Linked DNA regions of Elephas maximus indicus. The protein of the gene in region 1 binds, or shares a complex with, the protein of each later gene. Links are inferred from orthologs where the notes say so. Each region holds a gene or a part of one and is shown in the gene's direction. Other genes may lie near its edges.

The links.
Region 2: the proteins of EIF2B2 (region 1) and EIF2B1 are in contact, whole or in part, in a cryo-EM structure (PDB 7F64), measured with the Homo sapiens proteins. The link is inferred for Elephas maximus indicus from reciprocal best matches to the Homo sapiens genes EIF2B2 and EIF2B1. Residues at the interface, in NP_055054.1 of Homo sapiens: Glu107, Ser108, Leu109, His110, Leu112, Leu113, Thr114, Ser115, Asn242, Phe278, Asn280, Glu281, Glu282, Ser334, Tyr337, Arg338; in NP_001405.1 of Homo sapiens: Leu71, Arg74, Phe75, Leu78, Arg96, Leu99, Phe100, Arg103, Lys110, Thr117, Phe118, Lys120, Ser232, Phe235, Leu283, Asp287, Leu288, Val290, Thr292, Ser294, Ala295, Asp298, Glu299, Leu300, Lys302, Leu303.

The regions. Positions count from the first base shown.
Region 1 is NC_064828.1:87,718,096-87,725,902, forward strand, and holds the start of EIF2B2 (translation initiation factor eIF-2B subunit beta), read left to right. Parts: upstream 1-4,724; 5' UTR 4,725-4,834; coding exon 4,835-4,997; intron 4,998-5,120; coding exon 5,121-5,241; intron 5,242-5,367; coding exon 5,368-5,516; intron 5,517-6,375; coding exon 6,376-6,539; intron 6,540-7,187; coding exon 7,188-7,283; intron 7,284-7,745; coding exon 7,746-7,807. UniProt on the Homo sapiens protein: Acts as a component of the translation initiation factor 2B (eIF2B) complex, which catalyzes the exchange of GDP for GTP on eukaryotic initiation factor 2 (eIF2) gamma subunit.
Region 2 is NC_064840.1:6,740,377-6,747,979, forward strand, and holds the start of EIF2B1 (translation initiation factor eIF-2B subunit alpha), read left to right. Parts: upstream 1-4,502; 5' UTR 4,503-4,649; coding exon 4,650-4,662; intron 4,663-5,721; coding exon 5,722-5,823; intron 5,824-7,603. Other genes in the region: GTF2H3 (general transcription factor IIH subunit 3), read right to left, coding at 1-65, 1,679-1,758, 4,373-4,385.

The DNA.
Region 1 (7,807 bases):
TTGTTCATTCTTTTGGCAGTCCATGGTATATTCAATATTCTTCACCAACACCATAATGCTGGCTTGGGTCAGGTGTACCTTAGTCCTCAAGTGATATCTTTGCTTTTTAACACTTTAAAGAGGTCTTTTGCAGCAGGTTTGCCCAATGCAATACATTGTTTAATTTCTTGACCATGGGTGTTGATTGTGGATTCAAGTAAAATGAAATCCTTAACAACTTCAATCTTTTCTCTGTTTATCATGATGTTGTTTATTGGTCCAGTTGTGAGAATTTTTGTTTTATGTTGAGGCATAATCCATACTGAAGCCTGTTGAATTCGATCTTTATCAGTAAGTGCTTCAAGTCTTCTTCATTTTCAGCAAGCAAGGTTGTCTTACCTGCATATGGTAGGTTGTTAATGCATCTTCCCCCAATCCTGATGCCCCGTTCTTCTTCATATAGTCCATCTTCTCAGACTATTTGCTCAGCATACAGATTGAATAAGTATGGTGAAAGGACACAACCCTGACACACACCTTTCCTGACTTTAAATCACATGGTATCCCCTTGTTCTGTTCCAACGACTGCCTCTTGGTCTATGTACAGGTTCCTTATGAGCACAATTAAGAGCTCTGGAATTCCCATTCTTTGCAATGTTACCTGTAGTTTGTTATGATCCATGCAATCAAATAAAACACAGCTAGACATCTTTCTGGTATTCTCTGCTTTCAGCCAAGATCCGACTGACATCAGCAATGATGTCCCTGTTTCCCTGTTCTCTTCCGAATCCTGCTTAAATTTCTGTCAGTTCCATGTCAATGTACTGCTGCAACCACTTTTGAATGATCTTCAGCCAAATTTTACTTGCATATGATATTGTTTGATAATGTCTACATTCTGTTGGATCACCTTTCTTTGGAATGGACACAAATATGGATCTCTTCCAATCAATTGGTCAAGCAGCCATCCTCCAAATTTCTTGGCACAGACAAGTGAGCACTTCTGCGCTGCATCCATTTGTTGAGACATCTCAGTTGGTATCCCGTCAATTCCTGGAGCCTTGTTTTTCGCCAATGCCTTCAGTGCAGCTTGGACTTCTCCCTTCACCACTATCAGTTCTTGATCATATACTAGCTCCTGAAATGGTTGAATGTCAACCAATTCTTTTTGGCACAATGACTCTGTGTATTCCTTCCATCTTCTTTTGATGCTTCCTGCACTGTTCAGCATTTTGCCCCTAGAATTCTTCACTATTGCAATTTGAGGCTTGAATTTTTTCTTCAGTTCTTTCAGCTTGAGAAATGCCAAGTGTGTTTTTCCCTTTTGGTTTTCTAACTCCAGGTCTTTGTGTATTTCACTATAATACTTTACTTTGTCTTCTCCAGACACTCTTTGAAACCTTCTGTTCAGCTCTTTTACTTCATCATTTCTTCCTTTCGCTTTAGCTATTCTACATTCAAGAAGAAGCTTCGGAGTCTCTTCTAACATCCAATTTGGTCTTTTCTTTCTTTCCTGTCTTTTTAATGACCTCTTGATTTCTTCATGTATAATGTTCTTGATGTCATTCCACGACTGGTCTGGTCTTCAATCATTAGTGTTCAACGCATCAAATTTATTCCCGAACGGTCTCTAAATTCAGTGGGATATACTCAAGGTCGTACTTTGCTCTCATGGACTTGTTCTAATTTTCTTCAGCTTCAACATGAGTTTGCATATGAGCAATTGATGATCTGTTCTGCAGTTGGCTCTTGGCCTTGTTCTGACTGATGATATTGAACTTTTCCATCATCTGTTTCCACAGATGTAGTCGGTTTCATTCCTGTGTATTCCAACTGGTGAGGTTCACATATGTAATCACTGTTTATGTTGGTGAAAAAAGCTATTTGCAATGAATAAGTCATCGGTCTTGCAAAATTCTATCATGTGATCTCCAGCATCGTTTCTATCACCAAAGCCATATTTTCCAACTACCAATCTTTGTTTCCAATTTTCACATTCTAATCACCAGTAATTATCAGTGCATTTCCATTGCATGTTCCATCGATTTCAGACTGCAAAAGTTGGTAAAAATCTTCAATTTCTTCATCTTTGGCCTTAGTGGTTGGTAAGTAAATTGGAATAATAGTCATATTAACTGGTCTTCCTTGTAGGTGTATGGATGTTATCCTATCACTGACAGTGTTGTACTTCAGGATAGATCTTGAAATGTTCTTTTCCACAATAAATGCTACACCATTCCTCTTCAATTTGTCATTCCCAGGATAGACCACATGACTGTCTGATTCAAAATGACCAATACCAGTCCATTTCAGCTCATTAATGCTGAGAATATCAATCTTTATGCATTCTATTTCATTTTTGACGACTTTCAATTTTCTCAGATTCATACTTTGTGCATTCAATGTTGCGATTATTAATGAAAGTTTGCCACTGTTTCTTCTCATTTTGAGTCATGCCACATCAGCAAATGAGGTCCTGAAAGCTTGACTTCATCCTCATTATTAAAGTCAACTCTACTTTGAGGAGGCAGCTCTTCCCATGTCATATTTTGAGTGTTTTCCAACCTGAGGGGCTCACCTTTCTGCACTATATCAGATAATGTGCCATTGCTTTTTTGTAAGGTTTCACTAGCCAGTTTTTTCAGAAGTAGGTCCTTCTTCCTAGTCTGTCTTAGTCTGGAAGCTCTGCTGAAACCTGTCTACCATATAACAGTATATAGTATATGATTTATTTCTCTGCGTTGACTTTGTATCCTGTGCCCCTGCTAAACTCACCTATTAGTTCTAGGAGTTTTTTTTGTTTGTTGTTTTTGGTGATTCCTTGAGTTTTTCTATGGAGGTAACCATGTCTTCTGTGAATAGGGACGGTTTTCTTTCTTTCTTTCCAGACTGTGTGTCTTTTATTTCTTTTCACTAGCTAGAACTTTTGCCATAATGTCAAATAGGAATGGTGAGCATGGATGTCTTTGCCTTGTTCCTGTTCTTGTTGTCGTTAGGTGCCATAGAGTCTGTTCTGACTCATAGTGACCACATAGAACAGAATAAAACTGCCCCATAGGGTTTCCAAGGAGCGGCTGGTGAATTCAAACTACTGACCTTTTGGTTAGCAGCCGAGTTCTTAAGCACTATGCCACCAGGGCTCCTGTTCTTAATCTTAGGGAAAAAGTATTCAGCCTTTCACCTTTAAGTATGATGTTAGGTGTAGAATTTTGTATATGCCCTTTATTGAGATGAGGAAATTCTCTTCTATTCCTAGTTTCCTGAGAATTTATATCATGGATGGTTGTTAAAATTTTGTCAAATGCTGTCTTCTGTATCAGCCGATATGATCATGTGCAGCTTTACTTCTTTAGACTGTTACTATGGTGGATTACACTGATTTTCAAATGTTGAATCAGCTTTGCATTCGTATGTTTAAAGTCCATTTGGTAATGATGTATTATTCTTTTTACATAATGATGCATTATTCTTTTTATGTATTTTACATATTACTCTATTCAATTTGCTAATAATGGGCTGAGGATTTGTGTGTCCGTGTTTGTAGTTTTCTTTTCTTGTACTATCTTTGTCTGCTTTTGGTACTGGCGTAATCTTTTTAAAAAGAGTCCTGGTGTGCAGTGGTTAAGTGTTTGACTGCTAACAGAAATGTTGGTTGGAACCCACCAGCTGCTCTGTGGAAGAAAGATGTGGCAGTCAAATTACAGCCTTGGAAGCCCTATAGGGCAGTTCTACTCTCTCCTACTGGGTCACTATGAGTTGGAATCGATTCCAAGGCACCCAACAAAAACAACGTAATCTGTTTGGAAGGCAACTTGTCAATTGTAACTTAAGTCTTTAAAAATTTGTGTGCCCAAGGATTCCACTTTTAAGAATTTATCTTAAGAAAATAGAGATTCCTACGACACAGACTTAGGATTCAGACCTAGATTTGAATATTAACCCATCACTTTACTAATTACTTAGATTCAGTGAGTCTGTTTCCTAATCCATAAAATGGGGATAAGAGAACCTACTTCACAGAGTTGCTGCATTAAAAGAGACAGTTCAGTGCCCACATCTAGTAAAGCTTGGAAAAAATGGCAGCTCTTAAGTACTATGTTATACTGCCCATCCTCTGTAGGACAAGTCTGTCCAAATCAGAAAACATCATCTTTGCCCCACATCAGCCCCCACTTTTCAGAATCAACTCGACGGCAACGGGTTTGATGTTTTGTTTTTTTGTCACTTTTTAGTGAGTAGTCTCCTCATTCCTGATTCCTCTGTTTTGTATTAGATGTACTAAGCGTCGGGGATATAAAGACAAAAAAGATACGGTTTCTGTCCTCAGAGAGCTGAATCTCTTAGAGACACACACACAAACTAACCAGTATCATGCATTATAACACTATAATGGGGCGTCTGCCCAAGTGGCAGTGGTCTTAGAACGCATAAAAGGTCGGTGTCAGGAGCTGGAGGGCCAGGAAGGAGGGCGGCAACTTCTCCTGCGTAGTCTCAGGGCGGGAGGTAGGGGGAGCTCAGAGTCTTGCTGTTCCCATAGCAACGGGACTTGTATTCTTCAGGCCTCACACGTCACCTTTGTTCAGCGTCTGTAAATAGCGCCTGAGGAGCCTGGAAAAGCCACTTCAGGCCCTCTGGTCCTGGGGTCGCGCAGATCCTTTGCTGTTACCGAACGAGTCCCGCATCTCTGATTGGCTCAGGAGGACGAGGGGCGGGAGCAGGCAGCTGGGGGCGTGGCCTTCGTTCCCCCAAACTCGAGTTCGTCTCCCAGAGCGGAAGCCGACCTCTCCCGCCCCGGAAGTGCAAGCTCTGGCGTCTTGCCGATGTGGATTTTGTGGGTGAGGGCGTCGCTTTCGAGATGCCAGGCGCCGCGGCGAAGGTCTCGGAGTTGTCCGAGAGGATCGAGAGCTTCGTGGAAACCCTGAAGCGGGGCGGCGGGCGGCGCAGCTCCGAGGACATGGCTCGGGAGACCCTAGGACTACTACGGCGGATCATCACAGACCACCCCTGGGGCAACGCGGGTGAGGCAGGCCTAGCCCCACCCGCGACCCTGCCCGTTTTCGATCGGATTCCTGAGGTTGAGGATCGCCTTGGCCTCAACGCGCTCTTGCTCGCTCGCTCACTCTCTCTCTCGTGCACCGTAGGGGAGCTGATGGAGCTAATCCGCAGAGAGGGCCAGAGAATGACAGCGGCGCAGCCCTCAGAGACTACAGTGGGCAACATGGTGCGGAGAGTGCTGAAGATCATTCGGGAGGAGTATGGCAGGTCAGACCCACGTCCCGGGCTCCGAGGTGGGCCCAGTGACGCCCCTCTCCCTGCTTGGAGCCGCCTGCTACCTCCCTAACTGCACCTCCTCTCCACCTCCATCTTTGGATCTTGTTGACCCCATAGACTCCACGGACGCAGCGATGAGAGCGATCAGCAGGAGTCCCTGCACAAGCTCTTGACATCCGGAGGCCTGAGTGAGGATTTCAGCTTCTATTATGCCCAACTCCAGTCCAATATCATCGAGGCAATTAATGAGCTGCTGGTGGAGCTGGGTAAGAGTTCTTTTGATCCCTAGGCAGACAGGACAGGTAGCCGGCAGGTGAGGGAACAGAAGACCCTGGAAGTTGTCCATCAACAGAGATGAGAAACAACCAGTCATCTGGTTCTCAGGTTTGTTCTTCATCCTTTATAAACTACAAATCCATTGCTGGCAGAGAGTTTTCTTAAGGTAGGGTTTTGTTCTCATTTTAAAGAAAATGAACTCCCTAAAACCACAGTTGGTAGACCCTCCTGCATTAAACTTCCTCCTGAATTGTTACACACCACCTCCATCCCTCTTACTTGCCTTTGTGACTCATGAAACCTGCAGATGTTCATTACAGAGTTCCTCCAGGGGAGAAAGAAGCTGGAGTTCTGTCTGTGCCCTAAGGTGCAGCTCCCAAATTCCTCCTGTTTTTCTTCCCTGGCCTCTACTTCAGGTGGAGGTGTTGTGGCCACCTTTTGGAAGAAGAGCTCTTTAAGGGGGAAGCTCTGTTTACCCTACCTTGGGCACTTGAGGATTTTCCAGACTCGATCGTTTCTTGCCTGAATTCATTGTCTTCAAAATCAGTTGCAAGTGTTGTCTGAACTGTCATGGCAGAGGTTTTGATGTGGAGGTGGTTGATGAGCAAAGGTGCTGCACGGAAAAAGGACAGGCTGAGAACTTGGGAGGCAGAAAACCCCAAAGAAGTGGGACTTTTAAGAAACTCTGATATTTTACTTGAAGTCCATTAACCCTGTGGTAGGTACCAGGGTCTGCTAGGTGGATAGTCTGTGTGAGGGGCAAACTGCCCTTTCCATATTCTGTCATGTCTGTCTGTGACCTGGCATGGCAATTTCATGTTTGCTTTGCAAAACTGGCTGTGTTTGCAGAAGGGACAACGGAGAACATTGCAGCCCAGGCTCTGGAGCATATCCACTCCAATGAGGTGATCATGACCATTGGCTACTCCCGAACAGTAGAGGCCTTCCTCAAAGAGGCTGCCCGAAAGCGGAAATTCCATGTCATTGTGGCAGAGTGTGCTCCTTTCTGCCAGGTAGGGAACTGCTGGAGTTGATAAGAAAAAGGAAATTGAGGCGGGACTAAAGGAGGGGTGGGTGGGGTCCATGCCAACTTTCAAATGATAAGCAAGACATTGAGACATTGACAAGATAGAGTGAAACAGTAAAAGGATTTCAAGTTGTTCATCCTGTGAACATCTTTAAACATTGGTTTAAGAAAGTTTGGTGAACTGCTGGGTCCAAGAAAAGATAAATACTGGTCCTTTTAGGAATCAAAATGGGATACATTAAGTTCGAGATGACTGATGTTTGGTCTAACCTCACTCAATCCCTAGGTAAATAATAGATCTCAAAAAAGAAAATAATATGTAAAGATGCAGGATGTTGTAAAATAACAAGTCAGGATCTATCCTGTCAGCTATTAGCTATGCCTGATTATGCAAGCAAGTAGCATTTCCAGTTTCGTGGCTGCTCTAGGGTATTAGACATTTATTAGCTTACCCTGGGCTCCCCTGCACCTTACCAGAGAATACTTAGGATAGGCAGAAAATGAGTTTGTCTGTTGGGAACTGTGTTCTGGATCTGCCCAGTATCACAGAAGTCCCCAGATCCAGTTACGTTTAAGAGCTCTTTCACTGTGTCTCACTCTTTCTCCCTGCATCAGCCTTTCCTTCCTTTTGCAGGGTCATGAAATGGCCATCAATTTGTCCAAAGCAGGTATTGAGACAACTGTCATGACTGATGCTGCCATTTTTGCTGTTATGTCAAGAGTCAACAAGGTAAGTATATTTGGAGTCCTTTATTTGTATCATCGTTCCTCACTTGTGGTAGTCTCTAAATTTGGTTAAAGTACTGAATAAAATGCAGTAGAACTAAAGCTAAGTGTGTCAACTGCGAAGGATTGGTGAGAAGCTTCCTACCCTATGCTCAGAGAGCCTGGCAGTGGTAGACGGCGAATGACAAAGGCTCCTGACTCCTCAGGAAGTGTGGTATATAGGTTTTCAGAAAAGACAGGGCTAAGAGCGGTAGGTATTGCAGTTTCCTTGTCCATACTTTGTTCATTCTTTTCTTGGGAACCTACTTTCAAGCTAGAACCTTTGGTACTGAGCCTAAAATCCCTTTCCTTCTTATGGCCTATGACCCCTTAGGACACCAGGACCTGAGCACTCAGCCTGTTGTGCCCTGTGGCCCCTTTAAGGCTTACCCCCAGGATGACTCACATTTTTCTTCCTGTTCCAAAGGTAATCACTGGCACAAAGACCATCCTGGCCAACGGTGCCCTGAGAGCTGTGACAGGAACTCA
Region 2 (7,603 bases), on another chromosome or scaffold:
CGATTCATGAATAAATGGGAATTTCCCAACACCATCACAGCATCTATGCATTTTGATAAAGTGAACTGTTGGAAAACCGAAGACATTTCAAAGATAGATTAGCGATCCAAATACGTATGTCAGGCCTTGAAATGACTAACAGGCAATCACAATTACTCATTGCTAAAAATGTGCTCAGGAGCTCCCCTCCTGCAAAGCCATTAGCAAAAACCCTTGAAAACTACAGTCCTCGTTTTACTTACGTCAGATATTCAGAACAATATCCCAAAAATATTTTTCGCGTAGCATTTAGAGAATAACAAATGTCTCATGTCTTCTGTGCAGGTATCACTAGCAAATTGTCGCTACACATGGAATAGATACTTAATACATACATGATACCGTATAATACATGATTACATTGGTGATTTCTAAAACTTTTCAAATCAGTCATCTGCTAAACATGCAGATATCCCTTCTCTCGTGGAGCTCACATTCTCACAATTGTAATGTTAACTGTCCAAGTATTTTTGGTGCATGCTTTTTATCAAGATGAGGAAGTTCCCTTCTATTCTTAGTTTGCTTTGGTGGCACAGTGGTTAAGCACTCAGCTGCGAACCGAAAGGTAAACAGCGCAAACCCACCAGCCACTCCTCGAGACAGTTATGTGCCTTCTGCTCCCATAAAGACTACAGCCTTGGAAACCCTATAGGGCCATTCTACTCTGTCCTATAGGGTCGCTATAAGTCGGAACTGTCTCGATGGCAAAGGATTTGGTTTGGGGTTTTTTTTTGGTCGTGGCAAGTAGTTCTTTGTATATATTACTGGATTTGATTTGCTAATTATTTTGAAGATTTTTTGCATCTATGCTCATGAGAGTTTTCTTTTTTTGTACTGTCTTTACCTGGTTTTGGTGTAAAGGTAATACTGATCTCATAAAATGAGTTTGGAAGTGTTCCTTCTTCTGTTTTCTGGAAAAGATTTCATGGAATTGGTGTTACTTCTTTAACTGTTTGGCAGAATTCTCCAGGGAAACTATCTGGGCCTGGAGATTTAACACCAATTCTACACGATCTCTTCCAAAAACAGAAGTTAAGAAAAAATCTAAAGCAAATAATAAAAATTAGAGCAGAATTAAATAGACAATAGAAAAACAATTGAAAGAGTTAACCAAAAAAAACCTATATACACAATCAATATATGAAATGTTCAGAAAAGACAACACAGACTCAAGCAGCAGGTCAGTGGCTGCCAGCAACTTGGGGGGCGGGGGACAGAGACTGACTGCACACAGACAGGGTGGAACTCTGCAGGAAGACAGAAATGTTCTAAAGAGGGATTCTGCTGGTGATCGATTACACAACTTTATGAATGTACTAAAAAAATCACTTGTACGTTATCATGGGGGAATTTTATGGTATGTAAATTATACCTTCATAAAGCTGTTTTATGGAAACCCTGGTGGCGTAGTGGTTAACTGCCACGGCTGCTAACCAAAGGGTTGGCAGTTCGAATCTGCCAGGCGCTCCATGGAAACTCTATGGAGCAGTCCTACTCTGTCCTATAAGGTCGTTGTGAGTCGGAATCGACTCAACGGCACTGGGTTTGGTTTTTGTAAAGCTGTTTTTTGTTACAAAGCAATATAAACACGTTCTCAGTTAAACCAGAATCATCCAAAGGCTTCCTTAAGCAGTCTTACCTGAGATTCTTTTAATGCTTGCTTTCCCCACCAAATTGGGTTGGTGTCAACTATGATCACTAGAAGATTCAATTCATCTTCTGAAAATGTTAACAACAACAAAAAAAAATACATTAGTCTCATGAGAGTGAATCACCGCTAACATTCCCCATTAGTACAATTTAGAGCAAGCACCAACACATGCTTTTATATGTTTATCATCCCACAGCCATATTAACAGAAGGCCAAATTCTTTTAAAGATTTAAAACTTAGTGGGTCCTGAGCACGCTCTCGCCTGCTTTCCATGTGATTGTACCTTCCCCCTTTCCTCCTCCAAGCCACTGCGTTCTTTCTTGTGTCACAGGAGTAAAAGGTCTGACAAATTCAAGGACCAAAAGCAATGTTACCTCTTTCTTCCCAAAGCCTTCCACAGGTCTTCCAGCAAGAGATCCTGACTCCCTCCTCTCAGGTGAGAGGGAATGCCAGCCTTCTCTGCACCAAGCACTGGCATATATAATCCCATAATCCTGTTTTATACTAAAAGCAACCCAACAAGGGACATATGAATGCTGTCTTTCATCAGTTATAAGCATTCCTTTTTCCTTTTATTTTTATATTTATGAATCCTGTCTTTCATCAATTACAAGGCATTCCTTTTTTTTTTTTCATTAAACTCAGGGTGGTGCCTTACTATTAAAATTGACAGCATGTTTTGTCTCTTCAGAGGTACATAAAATAACAGCATGTCATCTTAGATTACATGAAATACAGTATTCTCATTTTGCAAATAAGAGCAAGTTGCCCAAAGTCACATGTCCTGCTGGCAAGTGGCAAAGCCAAGACCTTGCTGTAAAGACAGATCTCCTTGACTCTAAAGACTGTAGTTTTTCATTGCCCCACAGCCTGACTCTGACCACTAGCTGCACCAATGGACACTCCTCTAATGACATTTAGCTCTCACTACCTCATGTTAGTTAGTTGTGTGCTTCTCATCTCTCTTCCCAGCCCTGCTCACTAAACTGTGGAGGCCTTAAAGAATGATTTTTGCTAGTCTTGGGACAAATGACGTAATAAGTGTAAATCACAAAGTGGCTAGCACAGAAAAAAAAGAAGCAGGGCTTTAATAACTGTCTCTCCCACAGGCCCTCACTTCTCTACCCATAAGCCCTCAAACCTTTACCTGTATTCCCCATCAGGCCCCACCTCACAATTCTCAGAACCGTTAGTTCTCTGATGTTACCAAGACAGCCTGAGAAAAAGAGAGTATGTTGCCTGTGTGGAGAGTTATGTGTATCAGTACATCCAAAATGTCCCTGTGAACGTCCTTTGGGTCTCGACCTCCTCATCTGTAAATAGGGACAACAAAGCCAGGTCTGCCCACTGCCCTGACAGGGAACACAAAAGAGAATCCCTGATGGAGCAGGAGAACAGTGGGATGCAGACCTCAAAAAGACCAGACTTATGGTCTAAGACTGGAGGGACCCCAGAGGTCATGGCCCCCAGACTCTCTGTTAGCCCAAGACTGGAATCATTCCCAAAGCCAACTCTTCAGACAAGGATTGGAGTGGACTATATAGACAAAATGATACTGGCGAGGGGTGAGCTTCTTGGCTCACGTAGACACGAGACCATGTGGGCATCTCCTGTCTGATGGCAAGATGAGAAAGCAGGGGGGACAGGAGTTGGGTGAATGGACATGGGGAATACAGGGTGGAGAGGAGGAGTGTGCTGTTATATTAGGGGGAGAGTGGCTAGGGTTACACAGCAAACTGTGTGTAAGTTTTTATATGAGAGACTGACTTGATTTGTAAACTTTCACTTAAAGCACAAGAAAAGAAAAGCCAGGTCTGCCCCCCTCAAAGGGATGTCGTGTATATTAAAACAGATAAGAGAAGCATGGACCATTTTTACACCCTCAGAATGGATCTTCCTATTTCTTCTCTTGCTCACACAGTCCATTTTCCACACAGCAAACTGATCTTTCAAAAATGTAAATTAGATCATAATATTTCTTAAGTATGCATCACACTTAAAGCTCCAGCTATGCGGCCCTGCATGATGCAGCACCTGGCAGCTCTCTGGTCTCATCCTCTTCTACTGTCCTTCTAGTTCAGTCTGCTCCAGCCATCCTGGCCTCCTTTTTCTTCCCTCAAGACATCATGCTTCACAGCTTGTAGTTTACTGTATGAATAAATGCCTCCCCACCTTCGCCATCACCAGGTTCCCCAGTTCTGTCTTCTCAGTAATGTGGCGTCTTGACCTGCCACAAGGCCTTTGCACTTACAATGCACTCCCCCAGGAACTTCGCATGGTCGACCCAAGTCTTAGTTTAAACATTACGATCTTCCCTGGACTGAAGTAGCTCTTGCTCCCTCCACTAAGCACAAGCTACCACATCATCCTATCATATTGTCTTCGTGGCTCTTGTCATCCCTTGAGATTATTTTTGTTTTCCTGCTCATTGTCTGTCTCGCCCACTAGAATGCAATGCCATGAGAGCAGAGACCTTGTCTATCATGGTCTCTGCTGTATCCTCAGCGCATAAAATAATGCCTAGCACACAGTACCCGCTCCACATTTACTGAGTGAACGAATGAATGAATGCATTCGCTACTCCTCTAAACACCAAATACGTCCCATCCAGCCGAAAAACTACACTCCATTTCGCCGGTCCTGGCCGGGCAGAGTCCGCCCAACCCCGGCGCAACTCTCACCGTCTGAGACCATGGCGGCCTCCGCGCAGAGCCAGCAGCAATCGGGCGACCGTCGGGAATCCGCGGACCGACTTCCGGCGCTGCCCAGTGACGTCGGGACAGGTTTGGACGGGGCCGCGCCGTACTCGTAGACACGCTCCCGGCGCGCCGGAAATGGGCTGCAGAACTGCGGCGCGCGCTGTCAGTCTCAGCGGCTTCGAGCCGGCACAGTCGCGGCATCTGTCGAGGCAGCGCGGGTGCTTCTGATCTTCCCGAGCTTCGCCGTCCGGAGCGCACCATGGACGAAAAGGGTAAAGTGGGGCGAGGCAGGCTGGGGCCACTGCGCCTAAAGCGGGTCGGGGTCTCCCATCTCGCACGCCCAGGCTGCACACGGAGAGAAGAGAGGTCGCTTTCCAAGCTCAGGCAGCTCTGCAGCGTGTCCTTCTTCTAGTAAAAGCTACATCTCCCTCGCTGCTCCTATAGGTGGGGGATGGGCCCTGAGAGTGTCCACAGGCACTGCCCTCCCCCGCGCGCTTCTTCCCATGTCCATTCTCCAAAAAAGTGAGACTTTGGACGAGCGTGCAGGCCTTCGAAGACTCGCCTTCTTCGTATGTGAAATAGCAATAAGACTCCCTGCCCTAGTGGATCTGTTACAATCTAAAAAGTAAGGCATAGCCGACATACTCCTCTAATATGGTTTTGAAGACATTTAAGTAAAAAACAAGGAGCAAGCTAATGTACAAAGTACCTATCATGTAAAAAAACAAAGGGTGGTGGAATTCTGCGTACACAGATGTGTATATGTGTGCGTGCGCTTGAATTAGCCAAGACTCTCCTTGAAAGGATGTAGAAGAAACTGATAATGGTGGTTGATTCTAAATCCTCTCAGGACTTGGGATTAAGGATAGGAGAATGACTTTTCACTATCATTTAGCAGAGCTTGAATTTTATACCATTGAACATGGACGGCCTTTTCAAAATGAGACAGGAAGAAAGCTTACGAACAGTAAAGTGGCGTCATTTCCGTTCCCATTAACATTTGTCGTCCCCCTGAAGTTCACTTACAGCCAAAACCTTGAAAAGAAAGTATTCCTTGTTTTGTTTCCTACTGTTGTTATCGTTAGGTGCTGTCGAGACGATTCCGACTCCTAGCGACCCTAAGTGACAGAGCAGAACTGCCCCATAGGGTTCCCAATGCCATTATCTTTAGGGAAGCGTATCACCAGGTCTTTCTCCTGTGGAGCTGCTGACTGGGTTTGGACCACTAACTTTTTGGTTACCAATTGAGTGCTTAACCACTGTGCCACCAGGGCTCCTTTTTCCTAAGGTTAATAGTCATTAACCATGTCTCTTTTTTTCTCCTTTCCCAGAGTTAATTGAATACTTCAAGTCTCAGATCAAAGAAGATCCTGACATGGCCTCAGCAGTGGCTGCCATCCGAACTTTGCTGGAGTTCTTAAAGAGAGATAAAGGTAGGAGAAGAGCATCCTCAAACATGCTGGGCCTTAGGAAAGTCTTCCAATAGCTGTTAGGAGAAGTGAAGAAAGTGAGAGATGTATGTCTGCCTACGTTAGGTCTTAGAGCTCCAAGCTCACATTCTTCTTCATTTAAGCGTTCCTTTTAACCTGTAGAGAGTCCTCAAGTTATCATCAAAGGGCTCCCCCCATTTCAATCTCTGAGTATTGACAATTTTATTTATTTCCAAATCTTTTTTTAAATTTTATTTGTTGTTGTTGAGAATATACATAACATACACCAATTCAACAGTTTCTGTATGTACACTTCAGTGACATTGGTTACATTCCTCAAGTTGTGCAGCCATTCTCACCCTCCTTTTTTGAATTGCTCCACCCCCATTACCATAAACTCACTGGCAAAGGGCCCCCCTTTTATAAGTGAAATATCCTTTCTGTGCGAGTAACTGCTGTATCAAGGTAACTGTAAAGTTTAAAATTTAGCAATACCTCAGCTTTACAAATGTTTATCGAACGTTTTCCCTGTGCCAGATTCTGTGCAGGTGCTAGAGAGAATGTCCTGGAATAAATTCTGGACTTAATGACATTAACTGTGATCTATTAATTCAGACATCCTAAATGTAAACACTTGGGTATTAAAAAAAACACACCAAACCCATTGCTGTCGAGTGGATTCTGACTCATAGCAACCCTACAGGACAGGGCAGAGCTGCCCCATAGGGTTTCCAGTAAGCACCTGGTGGATTTGAACTGCCAACCTTTTGGTTAACAGCCAAGCTCCTAACCATCATGCCACCCGGGTATCTACGTGGATGTAGCATGATATTAAAGAGCCCTCTAAAGGGCTGACCTAGAGACCGGTGTCTCTAAGACAGTCTCTAGTGTCTTCCCCTTGTCCTTACAATAACATGCAAAGCCCTGGGCCTCCACCACGTTGCACACCTCCTCTGCGTCTGCTACCTACTTCCTTCTCTGCTCCCCCTCATTGAGCTCTGCTTCAGTCGTGCTGGCACCTCTTTTTTCCTCAGGCCAAGTTTGTGCCCATCTCTGGGACTTTGCGTTGTTATAGTCTACGCCTGGTAACTTTCCCACCGGATCTTTATGGGGCTGGATCCTTCCTTAGTCTGGTCTCAGTTTAAATGGCCCCCATTCCAGGAGGCTACCCCTGTTGTTGTTGTTATTGTTAGCTGCCATGAGGTAAGTTCCAGCTCATAACAACCGTATGTACAACAGAATGAAAAACTGTCTGGTCCTGCTCCATCCTCACAATTGTTGCTGTGTTTAACCCCATTTTTGGAGCCACTGTATCCGTCCATCTCATGGAGGGTCTTCCTCTTTTTCGCTCACCCTCTTCTTTACCAAACATGATGTCTTTCTCCAGGGACTGGTCCCTCCTGATAACATGTCCAATGTACGTGAGACAAAATCTCACCATCCTGGCTTCTAAGGAGCATTCTGGCTGTACTTCTTCCGAGACAGATTTGTTCATTCTTTTGGCAGTCCGTGGTATAGTCAATATTCTTCAAGGACACCATAATTCAAATGCATCAATTTTTCTTCAGTCTTCCTTATTCATTGTCCAGCTTTCATGTGCATATGAAGCAAATGAAAATTCCATGGCTTGGGTCAGGGGCACCTTAGTCCTCAGAGTGACAGGTTTGCTTTTTAACACCTTAAAGAGCTGTTTTGCAATACATCGTTAATCGTAAAGCAGTGGCTGCACCTTTCTCATTCTGCTTTTTTCTGTCCCCGTTACATCTGTAATTAACTTGCCTGT